Linked DNA regions of Struthio camelus. The protein of the gene in region 1 interacts with the protein of each later gene in a biochemical or structural test. Links are inferred from orthologs where the notes say so. Each region holds a gene or a part of one and is shown on either strand. Other genes may lie near its edges.

Region 1 (7,151 bases):
GAAAAAGTGTAACATCTTAAAGGAAAAAAATAGCAACTCAGACAGTTTTGGTGCTGTTGGTGGATTCAGTGGATGATGGCACTGAAGATTCATTTCAGAGAGCAACAGCTACCAACCCTTCTCCTCCCAACAGGAAGAGATCAACAAAAATTCTTAAAGCTGTTAAAGTCACTAAATAATCATTGAGCATGGCTATACCAGGTGTTTAGACCAAGTCTAAGACCATGTTTGCACCCTGAATCTCTGCCAGTTCGCACAATATCCTATATCCGGGACACTACATCAAGTCCCCTCCGTATCATTGGAGACAAGGCAGGGAGGATTCGGAAATGAACCAGGGAGCACAGGCCAGTGTGCCAGGGAATATGAAGCGCTCAGGTCTTCATGCTCCATAAACAGGTTGAGAATCATGACAGCTCTGCTCCATCAATGGTCTGATGGTTTAACTTTCCTAAAGTCAAAACAGATACGAGGTGAAACAGGAGTGTTCTGGCAGGCATTTGTCTAGACTTATGTCCTGCTATTTCCCTTTTCACTTCAGAACAGAAAGCAGCTATGTATGCAACTTCTCCTATTGCAGAATTAAACAGGTTAGCACTGAACAGCTGGTGCTTGCAGGCCAAACACAGGGGCAGCCCCTTTAAGCACATTATCTTTCCCCTAGAGGAGAAAGGAGTGAGTGGTTTAGGCAACCTCCTCCAGAGTCCTCACAACCTGAACCAGAAAGCCAGTCTGTCATAGCGAGAGGCCCTGCTCCCCATGACAACAGCTTGACTTGGAAAGAGAAGCAGCTATCAGCCAAGCTGTTAATTTGACTTCACACTCAAATAAGGCCTGCACTGATCTCAGCTAGAAGTAGCAACCTCAGGGCCTGCCAGGCTCCCAGAAGAGACATACGCTTGCCAGTTTCCTTATTTTGACACCCTGATGACGTGTCAGAAACTTGAGGATAGTGTCCAGGATAGGTCCAAAATATAATGCAGACTTTTTCCCTATACATTGAAAGGCTCTTAGGCTAGGCCTCAATTGTACATTAATTACAGGACAATAAATACTAGTCAAATGTCTTAATGAAGATCTAGTCATTGCCCTGTTCTGAATCCTATATGAGATCATCTTCAGATACCAAACAGGAGGGTTTCAAATGCCCTGTGTCTTATCTAGCCACTGCCAGGCAGTGAACAGTAAGTGAAATATGCACAATTATACTGAAAATTGTCTTGGCTTTCTCACTGAATAGGACTAACTACTTCTGTTTCACTTCATAGAGAAGCTTGACTATGCTTTGGAGTATATGTACCCTGAGGACACCCAAGGCCAGAAATTGTATTTGTTACTGCAAGAGCCGTACACAGTCTCTCTCCAGCACCATTACTGTACTGTGTTCTAAAACTCACAAACACATCAAGAGCTAGTATACCATACTGCAATTTTAAAAGCACAGGAAATGAGATCTGACAGATCAGTTCAAGATACAGAAGAATAAACAGAAGTCGCAACAAAGACATAGATGTTAGCCTATGCTAGACCTCAGACTAGGGCTAGTTTCCAAGCTGGGTATTTTAAACTCTAACTCAGATCTGCATAACAAAGCTTCAGTCACGATTTAATTGTACTGTAGCTGTTGTCTGAGTCAACTTATTCAGCCAGCAGTAATTCACTGAGCAAAAAAATGAAGGGAGGGCATAACATTTACACATGCCCAATGACTAACTTTGAAGATACCTCAGTCACAACTGCATCCAGATTAACATTAGCGTGCAGTGAAAAAAGAAAAGGCAGTTAAATATACCAACATCACTTTTCTGTAACACTTTTGTCCAGACCCTTTCGGCAACCTCATTAAGGGCAGTGGGTGGTGAGAAACAGATGATCTGTATAAAAATGACTCAGACATATTTGAAATAGCTTGTGGTCTGAAGAATTAAATGATCACATGGTATTGTTTTCTACTGTCATTTATTGTTAAGCTGAAAGAATTCACCATTCCCTACTTTTATTAGGCTATATTAACAAAAAGGTAAAGGTATATAAACTATTTTGTGCAGATATGTACACAGTAACATCTGACTTCAGTTAGGCTGCCCAGGGGGGTGGGGGGGGGAGGTAGGGGAGTGACACTGCACGAGCATCAGCTGCAAGTCACCAAGCCCTCAGTCAAGCAAAGCTACAGTTTAATATTTGAACTCAAATACAGGGCAGTTATTACAATATAATTATGAGCTACAGATACCAGGTACTCACTAGAGATCCATCTACAGATGATAAGCTCTCATATGTCTTCCAAGCTTTCTCTTTCACATTGTTTGATACTTTCAGAACATCACAGAGTACAACAAAGTCACTTTCTCCAATTTCAAGCCTAAGAAAAAGGGGAAAATATTACTCGTAGCATCCCAGTGCAACACACCAATTTACCGGACTACACACCTCAACAGGGGTTACAGAACATTAAAGTGCAACTCTGATGCAGCCTGACTTGACGCATCACTCTCTGGCAAGGCCATTCTGCTCTGCAAGCCACACAGGAGCTAAGGAAGAAAAATAACCCCCGGGCACGTATACAGAGAGCTCAAGACAGCACAACAACAGGCAGCCGGAGCCACGCAGATGTACAGGGAGGCACCTGAGCCACGCTAACGGCTTGCTAAAGTTTCTCTCTCCCCCCCTCCCGCCCCCACGAACGCCCCGCTGAGGAGGACGCGCTACTCGGAGCGCCAGCCCCCGCCGCTACCGCCCGACCCTCCCCGCAGCAGGTGCCCGGCGGCGCTTACCGGGGGGCGGCAGCGGCGGCGGCAGGCGGCGGCGGGGCGCTGCTGGAGCCGCTCTCCGGGCTGGCCCGCTGGCTCCTGGCGGCGGCGCCCCCCCGGCGGGGGGGCTTGGGCGGCATGGCGGCGGCGCCGCGCGCGCGAGGGCGGCCGTTGGGCCCCGCCGTTTAAACGCCCGCCGAGGGCTGCAGTAACGACCGATCGGTCGACCGACCGACGGCCGGTTCGGCGCCCCTCCCCCCTCCGCGCACAGCCGCCACTCAAACCGCGGCAACCCTCGCGTCACCGCCAGCCGCTCCGTCGTCACTTCCGGGCCGGCGGCGGCCGCCGCTCTATCCCCCCCCCTTCCTCCTCCTCCTTTCACTGCCGGGCGGCGGCGGGGACGCGCGCCTTCGAAACGCAGACCGGCACGACGACGGCGGCGGCGGTCTGCGCTCGGAAACCCGGAAGCAGAAGCCGCCCGCGCAGGGGGCTCAGCCAATGAGCGCGCTTCCTGCCTCACGCTAGCCAATAGGAGCTGCCTTTGCTTCGTGCGTCCCGGCAACTAGAGCGAGGGCTCGCCAAGGCGGGCCCCGCCCCCGCCCCGCCCCGCCGTGCCGGGTGGGGGCGGGGCGCGGCCCGCTGAGGCGGTGCCGGCCGCCCCGCAGGTACCGCAGGGGCGGGCGCGGTGGCAGCCGGCGCTCAGCCCCTGCTCGGCAGCGGGACACCGCTACAAATCCCGCCTGAAGCTTTTTTTTTTCAGCAGTTGCAGCATAACCCCTCCCTCTTTTGTCCCGTTTCTTGCTGTCTTAGGGCCGCTGCCGTCGAGGAAAACTTCCCACCTCACAAATGGCAAATCACAGGATCACAGAACGGTTGAGGTTGGAAGGGACCTCTGGAGATCATCCAGTCCAACCCCCCTCCTCAAACAGGGTCCTCTAGACCACGTTGCACAGGACCCTGTCCAGAAGGCTTTTGAATATCTCCAGTGAAGGAGACTCCACTACCTCTCTGGGCAACCTCTTCCAGTGCTCTGTCACCCTCGCAGGCAAGAAGTTCTTCCTCACGTTCAGATGGAACTGCCTGTGGTTCATTTGGTGCCCGTTGCCTCTTGTCCTGTCACTGCACACCACAGAGAAGAGTCCAGCCTCATCCTCTTGACACCCCCCCCCTTTCAGATACTTGTACACATTGATGACATCCCCTCTCAGTCTTCTCTTCTCCAGACTGAACAGGCCCAGCTCTCACAGCCTTTCCTCAGAGGAGACATGCTCCAGTCCCCTCCTCAGCTTTGGAGCCCTCCGCTGGACTCTCTCCAGTAGTGCCATGTCTCTCTCCTACTGGGGAGCCCACCACTGAAAACAGGACTCCAGGTGAGGCCTCCCCAGGGATGAGGAGAGGGGCAGGATCACCTCCCTCCACCTGCTGGCAACACTCTGCCTAATGCACCCCAGGAGACCCTTGGCCTTCTGGGCCACAGGGCCACATTGCTGCCTCATGCTGAACTTGTTGTCCACCAGCACTCCCAGGTCCTTCTCCGCAGAGCTGCTTTCCAGCAGGTCAGCCCCCAGCCCTGTCCTGGTGCATGGGGTTCTTCCTCCCCAGGTGCAGGACCCTGCACTTGCCTTTGTTGAACTTCAGGAGGTCCCTCTCCGCCCACCTCTCCAGCCTGTCCAGGTCCCTCTCAATGGCAGCACAGCCCTCTGGTGTGTCAGCCACTCCCCCCAGTTTAGTGTCATCAGCAAACTTGCTGACGGTGCACTCTGTCCCTTCCTCCAGGTCATCGATGGATACATTGAACAAGACTGGACCCAGGACTGACCCCCGGGGGACACCGCTAGCTACAGGCCTCCAACTAGACTCTGTGCCACTGAGCACAACTCTTCACGACCACGTCCTTCATGACAATCTCTGAATTGGATATTCATCCGAGTCCCACCTAAAATACTACTTTTAACAGTGTGCGTTGCAGTTATGTTTGGTTTAAAAAAAAAAAAAAAAGTCCTCAGTCTTTGATCCACGGATTTAAGAATTAACCCTGTTGTCCGCAGTCGCCCACCCGCTGGGAGATGGCCCATTTCTGCTGCCAGTTAGCACATTTTCTGTCAGGCTTCTGCGGTGGCAACTTGTTCCAAAAAGTAAAACATATTTGAGGACATGGATATGGAAGGACTCTTACATGTCTGCATTGATCATTCATCTGTAAAGCAAGCAGTTTTAAATCCAAAAGTTTAATAGCAATCTGACTAACAAAATGTGAGCACTACCAGTAAACGATTAAAAAAAAGCAGTATTTTAAGGGTCACAGGTTTTATTGATTTGCATGGCTTTTTCTTTATTAACTTTTCACTTAAAAATAGCAGAACAGGCCATTTTTCTGATTCATATTAGAATTAAACAAGTTACAGTAAAGTGAATACAGAACCAATGGGATTTCTGAGGCAAGTCAAGGTTCATAAACTTCAAATGAAATGTTTCATTCGTAAACTGCAGTAGGACATTCCTTACCATAATTCCAGCAAAACTGTAACTTTACCCTTCTAAGCATATTTAAGGAATTTCTTGTAATCAGATGACACCAGATGCTGTCAAAGGTTCAGAGGCTAGGACTACAGATGTCACCTACAGCTGAAGATTTGTAGGCAACTAGGCAGATAAGGTTAGCTAAACCTCCACGTGTGGTTAGCTAAACCTCCATGTGTGGTTAGCTAAACCACACGAGTCTCTTGCCCTTCCGTCACGACGGGCTTTATGAGCTCAAAAGAGCAAAGCAACCCGAAACGCGGTCACAGCCAGCGCAGACCCTCCCAGCTGTCCACAAGAGGAAAACCTGCCCTCCTGGGCAGCTTCCCTCCTAGCTGCTTCCACACACTTTCATAGCCAAGCCCAAGATCATCCGAGCAACGGGCAAGGAATGTGTGTTGCTCTCGTAACCCCTTGTGCGTTACCACTTGGTGAACATCGGGCCCTGTTAAAGGGCTGCCAACCAATGCCAGGGCAAATACTAACTTTCTAGAATTGTCCGTGTGTCAAACACCCTCTTGAATCAAGTTTTATGCGCCTTCTCCTCAAGCGACGAGAGCTCAGGACTCTCCATAAGCAGGAGCAACCAAAAATATCTCGTAGATGCTTAAATTTGCAGCTTATGAGAACAGGAGGAGCAGCAGCAGCAGCAGCGGGGAGGCAGCAGATGAATCAAGCTACAGTAACCTTCACTCCATCCCAGAGCCTCAGCTGTATTAACTTTACATCTAAACTGCAATAAGATCGCATGTGTACATGTATGTACCTCCTAAAAAAAGCACATGCATATGTAAGATTAGATGTAAATTGCTGCTTTTTTTTCCTTGTTAGATACATTGATTTGATAGTTTTAACCTTGGGTTTTAAGTCATTTAACCTTGTATTTTAAGTCATTTTCTTTTAAATGGAGCCTTTGGACTCTTGAATAAAATGACAAAGGAAGGAAAAAAGCAGCTCTTCTCGAAAAAAAAAAAAGTTAAAAGACTGCAAGGTCACAGCATTAATCATAATTTCTCATCTGGCCTGACAATATCTTTGTTCTAAATATCTTGCTACAACAGCTTTTAAAGAGCAGGTCATAGCCAGATGGAAGTCTGAAACATAGCCCAGTCAGGCAGCCCTGACTCATTGTTTCCAGCTGCTAAACAATCTTAAGTAATGTTATCATCTTAATTCTTTTTTTCAACTTAAAAACTGTTGCTATAGTTTCACAGTAATTGCCAGTGGGAATGGAAACCATGCGTTCATTATAAGCAAAACCAACCCTTTTTATTCTGACCCTTAATGCTCAGGCATGTTAGTAACTTGCAACTTCTTTAGTTTTCAGAAATCAAGTTTTCCCTCTACCAGAAATATTTCATTTTTATTTCATCCAACTTCATGGTCTATCAGGACTAGCTGCTTGTTTCTGCATTAGTACAGATCGACATCCACCACCTAAGCTAGAGTTCTGATAAAGTCATTTCTTCTTGGAGATACATGAAATTAATGTATTTCTACTAAAATCACTAGACTGCGATCTTCTGGATATTAGTGCTAGTATTGATTAATGACAGAATTTTTGCTTGAATAATGGCTATACAGTTAGGCTGTAAAATTCACAGATTATGAAAATATTGTTCAAGAATTATCCTAGACAAAAGCAATGGCAAATTAGAGGAAGAAAATGATTGAGATTGCATTACCTGGGGATAAATAGTGTCTTTTTTTTCCCCTAGGAAACCAAAGGGAGTTTTGCGCAGATCACAAATGGGAGAAGGAGTTTCTTGGTGCCGCGTGCGTTGTCTGCTACCAGTTGCTGCTGTGCAGCTTGCCGTTCTCCACAGGAATGGTACCCTAGCCATTTTAAATGACCTTTGGTATTTGAGAAGGCTTCAGCTT
Region 2 (7,874 bases), about 53 Mb from region 1:
ATGCAGAATTAGCGTAAAGTCGTAAGTATGTCAGCTTTACTACACAAGATCAAGTTAGAATACCATTGGACAGGACATTTGTTAATACTACTGCTAGAACACCATCTAAAAACGCATGCAGAGCCCACCTCCTTTTTCACTGTCATACTGAGAAGCATCAAATTGATCATCATTGGGAATCTGGACTCTTGCAACAACCAGGTGGTTCTGTTCATCAGAGGTGTGTGTTCCCAAAACCAGCCAGTGTAGAGCATAATCCTTTCCTTCTGGCCTGTTTAGAGTAATAAAAACAGAATAAAATTAAAGAGCTCATTTCCAAAAGTTTATTGGTTAGTATCAGTAACCCTGAAGATCCAGACTTCTGCAGGAAGATTTAAAAAAGTAAAACAAAACAAACCCACAGAAAACAAAAATATTCAAGTACGAGATCCCTTGCTTTACCACAACAGACTTGTGAATTAATAAGTGAACTAAATTACCTGACATAAGCAAGCCAAGGATACATCCAGCAAGCCAAGAGTGACAATATAAGTCAACAAACACTGCCGCTATTGCTCGAATAGGATAATTAAAGTTTGCCTAGTAATTACTCCTATTTTTAATTCTCCTTGCAATCTCATAGTATCAATTTGGAAGACAAGCAATACTATGTTCTATAAAAAACAAAACCCGAGAAAAGCAGCAATCTATTTCAGTTACTTTCCTTTCAATATGCTTTTACCAGTTGGTATTTTGTTACAGTTTTCAGAAGTTGATTTTTAAACAGTGCACAAACCCTAGCTAACTATAATTAAATTCCTTTTGATGGTTAAATGCAATAGTTAGTAATAAGTGAAAGGTCAGAGAGACGGTGTCATATATCTGAGAAAGGAAAATTGGAACACGCAAATAAAAACAAGCAACTTCTGCGTTCCTGAAAGCAATAAATTAATTCTGCTATCTGAACCCAAGCAAAGAGGAAATAGGAATCACGTGGGCAATCAAAAAACATCATCAGTATTATTACACCTATTCCAGGGCATCACCATACAATTGGGGCGAGGGGGGGAAATAAAATAAAAAACACACAATGCACACACACTTACTTGTATTAGGAATAGGTGTCCCATCATGTCAGGTGCCATACAAAGAGACAGTCCTTGCCTTATATGGCTTACATATTCTGACACTGGGTAATTGGAAATATCAGGTTTTTAACTGAATATTAAGTCAATCTGCAAAATATGAGGCAAGCAGAAGTGTTCCTCATAAGGGCTCCATACCCTCAGAAAAATTCCCCATTTCATTTTCTCCATGCCATGAATAGTTAGCTCACATCTCTCCACATCTTCCCCAAACGTCCTGGCATTCAAAATTAAGTGATCACCTAACCACCACATATAACGCCACTTATGCAAGTGGAATTTTAAAGAGGAAAAAGATCATCCTCTTTTTACTGCATGAACTTTAAGGGTAAGATTTTAAAGCCAAGCTGTATCTGTGATACAGCAGCATGAGGGACCCACACCTGTCCATTAACTTTGTGGAGTCCTGAGTGATTACTCTGAGAATTTAAGTTTTCTAGTAGCTGGGACATCAAGAGAATCCATCTCTCTCTTAAAAATTCTTTAAGAAATTAACCAGCTACCCAACAAACTTTTAGGGGGAGGGAGAAGAATGGGAAAGTTAAGTTATCTGAGGTCAACGATGCCAGGGACAGAAGCAGGATATTAAGGGCCACAGTCTCTACCGAGCAACATCCCCTTAAATTTGGCCAGACCCAAAAAAAAAAAAAAAAAGTGTATCTTCTACAGAACAGTAATTGGTAATGCACATGAGGAAAAATATTATTCATGTAAAAGTTTAGTAAGTTTGTTCTTTCTCTGAATAGAAGCTACTGCAGAACAGCTAGGTCTCTTACATATCAATAAAATAAAGTAAGGAAGACTTCTTCCCTGCCGTCTCAAGGCAGATCTTGCTGTGTCAGGCTAGAGCTCTCTACAGTATCAATATGTACCTTTTTTTCCCCTTCAAAGCTTCTGTCTATCCAAAGGGTTTTGAGAGCTGTAAGTAAAATGAACTGTTACAAGCTTACTGCGAGACGAGCCTAATCCACATTATTCTAGTCTCTTGCGGTTTCACCTTCCAATTACCTAGCAGACACCGCGAAGAGCGACCGAAAGAGCGGCAGGACAAGCAAGTTCTCTCTCTCCTTCCCTCACCTGGTCACGTCAGGCAACCACTGGACGGTGAGGCTGGGCCACTCCAGGGCGTGCGTCATCACCAGGTCGTACAAGAAGGGCGTGTTCTTCTTCCAGATCTTGTACTCCTCGCTGATGACGCGCTCCTCCACCGTGTCCTCCAGCGCTGGGCGAGGGGCGGCGGGGGGGGAGAGGGGGAAAAGCCAACGGCTCAGCGCGCGCCGCGCCAGGCGGGGGCGGCGCCGCCACGCGCCGGGGGCTGCGCGGGTGGGGGTGGGGGGAGGTGCCACCGAGGTGGGGTGGGAGAGGGGCGGTGCCCGCCACGCGCCGCGGGGCTGGGCGGGGTGAAGGTGCGGAGAGGGGCCCCGAAACCCTCTTGAGGGGCAACCGGAGGCAGAGCGACAGTTACCCCCCCCCCCGCCAACACCGCCCAGCCAGAAGGCCCCCGCGAGAGAGGCCGCGGGTGCCTCCGCTCGCGCCCTCCCAGCTCACGCACGGCCGCCCCACGCAGCCCGGGCAGCAGCAGGAGGAGGAGGAGGAGGAGGAGGAGGCGGGGTGGTGGGGGGGGGTGCTCTCCTACCTTCCTTGCTCGCCATTTTGGGCGTGTGTGTGCGCGCGCAGGCGAGGTGAGGGGCAGGAGGTACCGGCTAGCGGCGGGGAAGGGGGGGAGGGGGCACAGCTCGCGCCGCAGCTGAGGACGCGGCGGCGCTGCCGCTGCCACGGCCGCGGCCGCTCCCGCGCGTCAGGCGCCCCGCCGATGCCCAACCCGCGCCTGGCGGCGGCGGCGGCGGCACCGCGCATGCGCTGCCGCCCCGCCCTCTCCGCGGCGCCCGGAACGCCGCCACCCACCGCGGCGGCCAATGGGGAGGGCGAAAGGGCTGCGCGCGCGCGCTCGCTCGCTCGCTCAACGGCTGGCGCGAGACGGGGCTGCGAGTCCGGCCGGGGCGCTCCGAGGAGGCGCCCCCTCGCTCGCCCTCCCGCCTGCGCGCGCTGAGCACACGCGTGGGGCGGGGCGGGGGTGGGCGCCCGGCGCCTAACGGTCGGAAGCGCGCGCCGGCGCTCTGCGACCCCTTGAATCCACTGCGAGGGCGGGCGGGGCGGGAGAGGGCAGGGGGCTCTTGGCGGACGGACGGCTCCCAGGGGCCCTGGGGCTTTTCGCGGCCGGCTGACACGCGCCTCCTTGTCCAGGAAAGCGCTTGGACTCGGCCCAGAGCCCGGCTCCGCGCTGGCAGCGGGCAGTCGCTACGCCCAGGCGTGCCCGTGTCACGGGCGGGTCCCCCGGCGTTACTGAGTGGGTCGCGGAGGGCGAGGAGGAGCCAGGGTTTCACGCAAGTGCGCGGCTTTTTATTCAGAAGAAGGTTAAGATTGGCGTGGACGTGTATATGCCGCGAGGTGGGGCCTTAAGTAAAATAAACCGCCGACGGTACTGCTGTGCGAGTTGGCAAACGGCTTTTGTTGCTTTTTAACCGCATTTAAAGGCGTTACAGAGCAACCTGCCAGTTCGGTTCAAAAGTTGCCTCAGAACATCTAAAACAAGCTGAGTTCATCCTGCGGAGACATATGAAAGGAGCATGCTTTAAACGCAGGGATTTGGTGTTCATGATCTGTTCACCAAGAGTTTGGAATTGCTAAAAAAATACAATTTAGAAAAAGGACATCTTGGCTGCCGAAAAGCCCCTATACCGAGCTGTTCAGAGTCATGCATAATGCAGAGTAAGCACGGTAGACCTCCCGTTTAATAATAGGTTTCGCCACTCGGACAATACCCCGAGGGGACGCCTGGCGCACAGTTTTGAGAGCCACGCGGTACCCCTGCAGTAATTGCAGGCACAATTACTGCAAAGAGCACAAGCACCTTCCCTTTTGATAACAGAAGAACGAGCGTGGGTATTGCCAGAAATCAAAATGGGAAGCACTCCCCTCAGTAGCGCTGTAGAGGATCAAAGTACCCAAGTATTATTCACAAACGTGATTTACACTGATCTTCCGAGGAGAGGGGTAAACTAAAAATTCGAAATTCTGGAAGTATTAAAATCCGTACAGCACTCAAGAGTAGATGAGGAATGAAAAGACTATTATGGCTCTCTTCTTTATACTACCTTATTTGTTACTGCAACGCTAAGGCAGAGTTACCAAGTGCGTAATCGCTGATTGCACATGGGAAGTAGGAATTGGGAAACAGAAGTGATAATGGTACTTAACTCATTTGTCAGTTTTCATGAATGCAACTCTGCACAGATCCGGAAAGGAGGAACAGTGCAGTGAACGAGAAGAAAAATGAAAACAAATGGACTCTTTCTAAAGAAATACCCAAAATACAAGATATTCCCTTTTACCAATCAGAAACGGTAATCTAGTCATAAAAGGGGAAAAAACAGCCGACATATTTAACATAAGTTAAAAAACAATCTCAGCCGGAATGAAAACCAGACATTAGTCTTATGTAAGCCAACAGAGGTAGCTGAAATCGGGAAGCCACGGGATTAGAGGGCATAAAGAAGAAGAAGGGAAAGACGCGGGGTGGGGGGGGAGATGTGCAAGACTGCGGTGTGCAGTTCGGCGGGCCGAGCAGGAGGTGGCACTACTGTCACACCGGGCAGCCGCATGCGGGCTGCAGAGCCAGGCGAGGAAGGAGGTGGTCTCAACTCCCTGCACAAGAAGCAGGATCTGACCGCGGAAGTTTCTTTGCTCGGTGTCGGTTACACCCTATTCTGGTCCATGCTCCAGGATGTATGTCTATTTGGGGCGATGGTAGTAAAGCGAAAATTTCTTGGAGATCCAGCAACTATCAGGCGGCCTCTATACATTTGAAACAAACTTAGGTGCAACAGCAAAGAATGGTGGTTGACGTCATTTAGTATGTCTTAACTAATAAGCCCTAAATTGCACTACAAACTCAGATACTAAGCCCACTTCACAGCTCAGAAAATATACGTAAAAATGGCTATAGAGACCACTGCTAAATAGTTACTATTTTTCAACAATGGCGCCTGAAGATATGTTTTTTTTATTTTGCTGCAAGAAATACCTGTTTGAAAGTTTGCTGAGTTGCAATAAAGGCATGCCAATAAACTAAGCCGCATTCTTGACTTCCCACTCACATAATATCAGTCAGGATTACAGAAGTTTTAAATCCTACAGCTGTCTGTTAGGGTCAGAAGTATTGTCTGTGGTGAGTGACACAGCTTCTTTTAAGCAGTCACATACAAATCAAATGTATGGCTTTGCCAGGACATGCCCAACCTTTCTAGTCTCTTCTCTTGTTTCAGCGAGTACTAACCAAAAGGCCATTTCATTTAACTGCTTTCTATTAAGCTTGAATAAACAGCACTTGGCATATAAAATAGCCTTAACCAGAGCAGATCTTGAGGGCAGTTAATAGCACCTTCCAACAGAATAATGGAAATAGAGGCAGTTAGGAATCAGGCTAAATTCTCCCAAATGCCCCTAAAAAATCAGAGGAACGTTCTGCTTCCACATTGCATGAGTTCTTTTATCATGTGGTGACTTAAAGTCTTTAGATCAGTGCTTTGATATTAAACTCAGGAAGCAGAATCCTATATTGGTAAGGCCTTGAGCCCCAGAAGGGGCTGAAATTAGCTCTGTAGCGGAGATCATTGTGCTCAGCTAGCGATATTGTGGCAAGAGAGAAGGCTTACTTGCACAGCCAAGTAAGAGCCAGGATTTTTATATTCACTCTGTGAGGAACTCCTCATGGACTGAGCCCTCTATAGTCTGGACTCCAGTGTTTCAAAGAAGGAATCCAGTTATGGAAAATGTTTATGTCTAGGAGAGGCTGGGGAGCGCAGAGGCTAGTAACAGCAGCCAAAGGTTGTAGCATGGGAATTGAAGGAGAAGGCTGGAGTAGACAGCCAGCTCCTTGAACAGGAAGCGTTTGTAATGAACCGTTCCTTTATGGGCCAAAGTGCTGAAAAACAGAAATGTTCTGGTGAAGAAGCCAAATAACCATATACTAATCTTCTTGAACCTGCACAAATTGGAATTAAAGCTATGTATGGCTTACTTATTGAAAATGAGAATTCTGTTGAATTAATTGGAAGCTGCAGAATAATCTGCTACATAGGAATGCACTAGTGAGTATGTTAACACAGACATAGGACCTTGATCGTACAAGGTGAGTTACCAACTTGCTTTTGGCAACACTTATTAGTTGTTTTGATATCTGCTGCCAAGTATGTGTCTAAACCTACAAAGTGCTGAGGCCTTCCTGAAATGCTGGGAGGGTGAAGATTGAGCTTTTCAGAGCCTGTGTGGTGGTGCAGAGTGCTGATCTGTTAAAACTCAGATACTGAATAAAGGAAATCTCTGTCAGGCTTCTTGGCTCTAAGTGAGTTCTGTTAGCTCTTGATGAAATTTAATTACATGGCCCCTTGAAGGATCAAGCCGATCTGAGCATTGGGTGGGATATTGTGTGTGCATTTGGCTGTGAACAGCAGTGGTTTTCCACCACGGCTTACCTGGAATATAATTGGCAAAGTGTGATTTATTTTTGGAGAAAGGTAGACAAAATTGTCTTTCAGTGATGTAATGTAGGGCTTGATTAAACTCTAAATTAAGAGAGGAAAGTTCCCCCTTCCCCCTCCCCCCCCCACCAGTTTTGGAAGACTCAGTTGTTTAGACTCTGCAAGTCAAGTTGCATTTTAGTGGACTGTGAGGAGCAGTACCAGTTTTGATGAAAAAAATCTGTTACACCTATTTGTCAAAATAGTCCCTAAGTGACCTGTGCAATTATCTTCTCCTTTGTTAGCAACTATACTTGCACACAGCCAAATTTTCTTTTAATTTATATGCAAACACACCAACAATCTTGCTATTAAGTGCTTTTCGCCTATCAAGATTGCTATGGAAAAGACAGTTTATAAACATTACAACTATCCAAGAATGCATATCAGCCACTTAAGGCTGGCTATTTGGGGTTCACCAGCAAGGTGATATCTGTGACCAAACATTTAAAACATGTCCTTTGATTCCAGCACTTTATAAGGAAAATAATTATCAAAGGCCACTGTTCATCACATGCAGTTTGTGTGAAATGGATGATAAATTAGTTGTGACGTACAACAGTGACTTGAATGATAAGCTTTATTTTATTAAGCTATACTGCTTTCACACCTAAGCATGAAATATTGTGTTTTCATTTCAGTAAAAAAAAAAAAAGAAAAAACCCACTATCTTCTGCATCCTTGATTGTATGTTCTGCATTGTGCATCAAATTGCCAGATATCCTTGTGAGGAATTATCTGCATTTACTAATTTCCAGCTCAAAGACGTGCGCTGATTTATTACTCTGCAAAGAATTAGCTGGCTTGCTGATGCTTACAGCTTATACATTATGCAGAGCAGATGAAGGTTCATAACGACAACTCAGCAAGTAGATGTAGGTATTACCATAAATGACCATCTCAGTTAGAAAATTCTTTGAAGGCAATCAAGTTTGCACAAAACCTCAGAAGTGCACACCGAAAAAGTAAAAGAGCAGCCGCAGCATTTAGTATTCTCTAATATTTACTATCATTGCTTAGTCTTCAGGGTTTGCTTGGAATAAAGCATTGTTTTCGTCAAATATGCAGATAAGCAAAGCATACCTCAGATAAATTGATGCAACTATCCATCCAGAAGTTCCTGAAATGTGACTGCATCCTTTTTCCCACTGTTCATCCCAATATTTCTTTG

The links.
Region 2: the proteins of RB1 (region 1) and RBBP7 form a complex in vitro, tested with the Homo sapiens proteins (3 studies listed by BioGRID). The link is inferred for Struthio camelus from reciprocal best matches to the Homo sapiens genes RB1 and RBBP7.

What each region holds. Positions count from the first base shown.
Region 1 is NC_090942.1:192,180,844-192,187,994, reverse strand, and holds the start of RB1 (retinoblastoma-associated protein), read right to left. Parts: upstream 3,006-7,151; 5' UTR 2,891-3,005; coding exon 2,775-2,890; intron 2,363-2,774; coding exon 2,245-2,362; intron 1-2,244. UniProt on the Homo sapiens protein: Tumor suppressor that is a key regulator of the G1/S transition of the cell cycle. The hypophosphorylated form binds transcription regulators of the E2F family, preventing transcription of E2F-responsive genes.
Region 2 is NC_090942.1:138,746,201-138,754,074, reverse strand, and holds the start of RBBP7 (histone-binding protein RBBP7), read right to left. Parts: upstream 3,006-7,874; 5' UTR 2,777-3,005; coding exon 2,761-2,776; intron 2,347-2,760; coding exon 2,202-2,346; intron 272-2,201; coding exon 129-271; intron 1-128. UniProt on the Homo sapiens protein: Core histone-binding subunit that may target chromatin remodeling factors, histone acetyltransferases and histone deacetylases to their histone substrates in a manner that is regulated by nucleosomal DNA.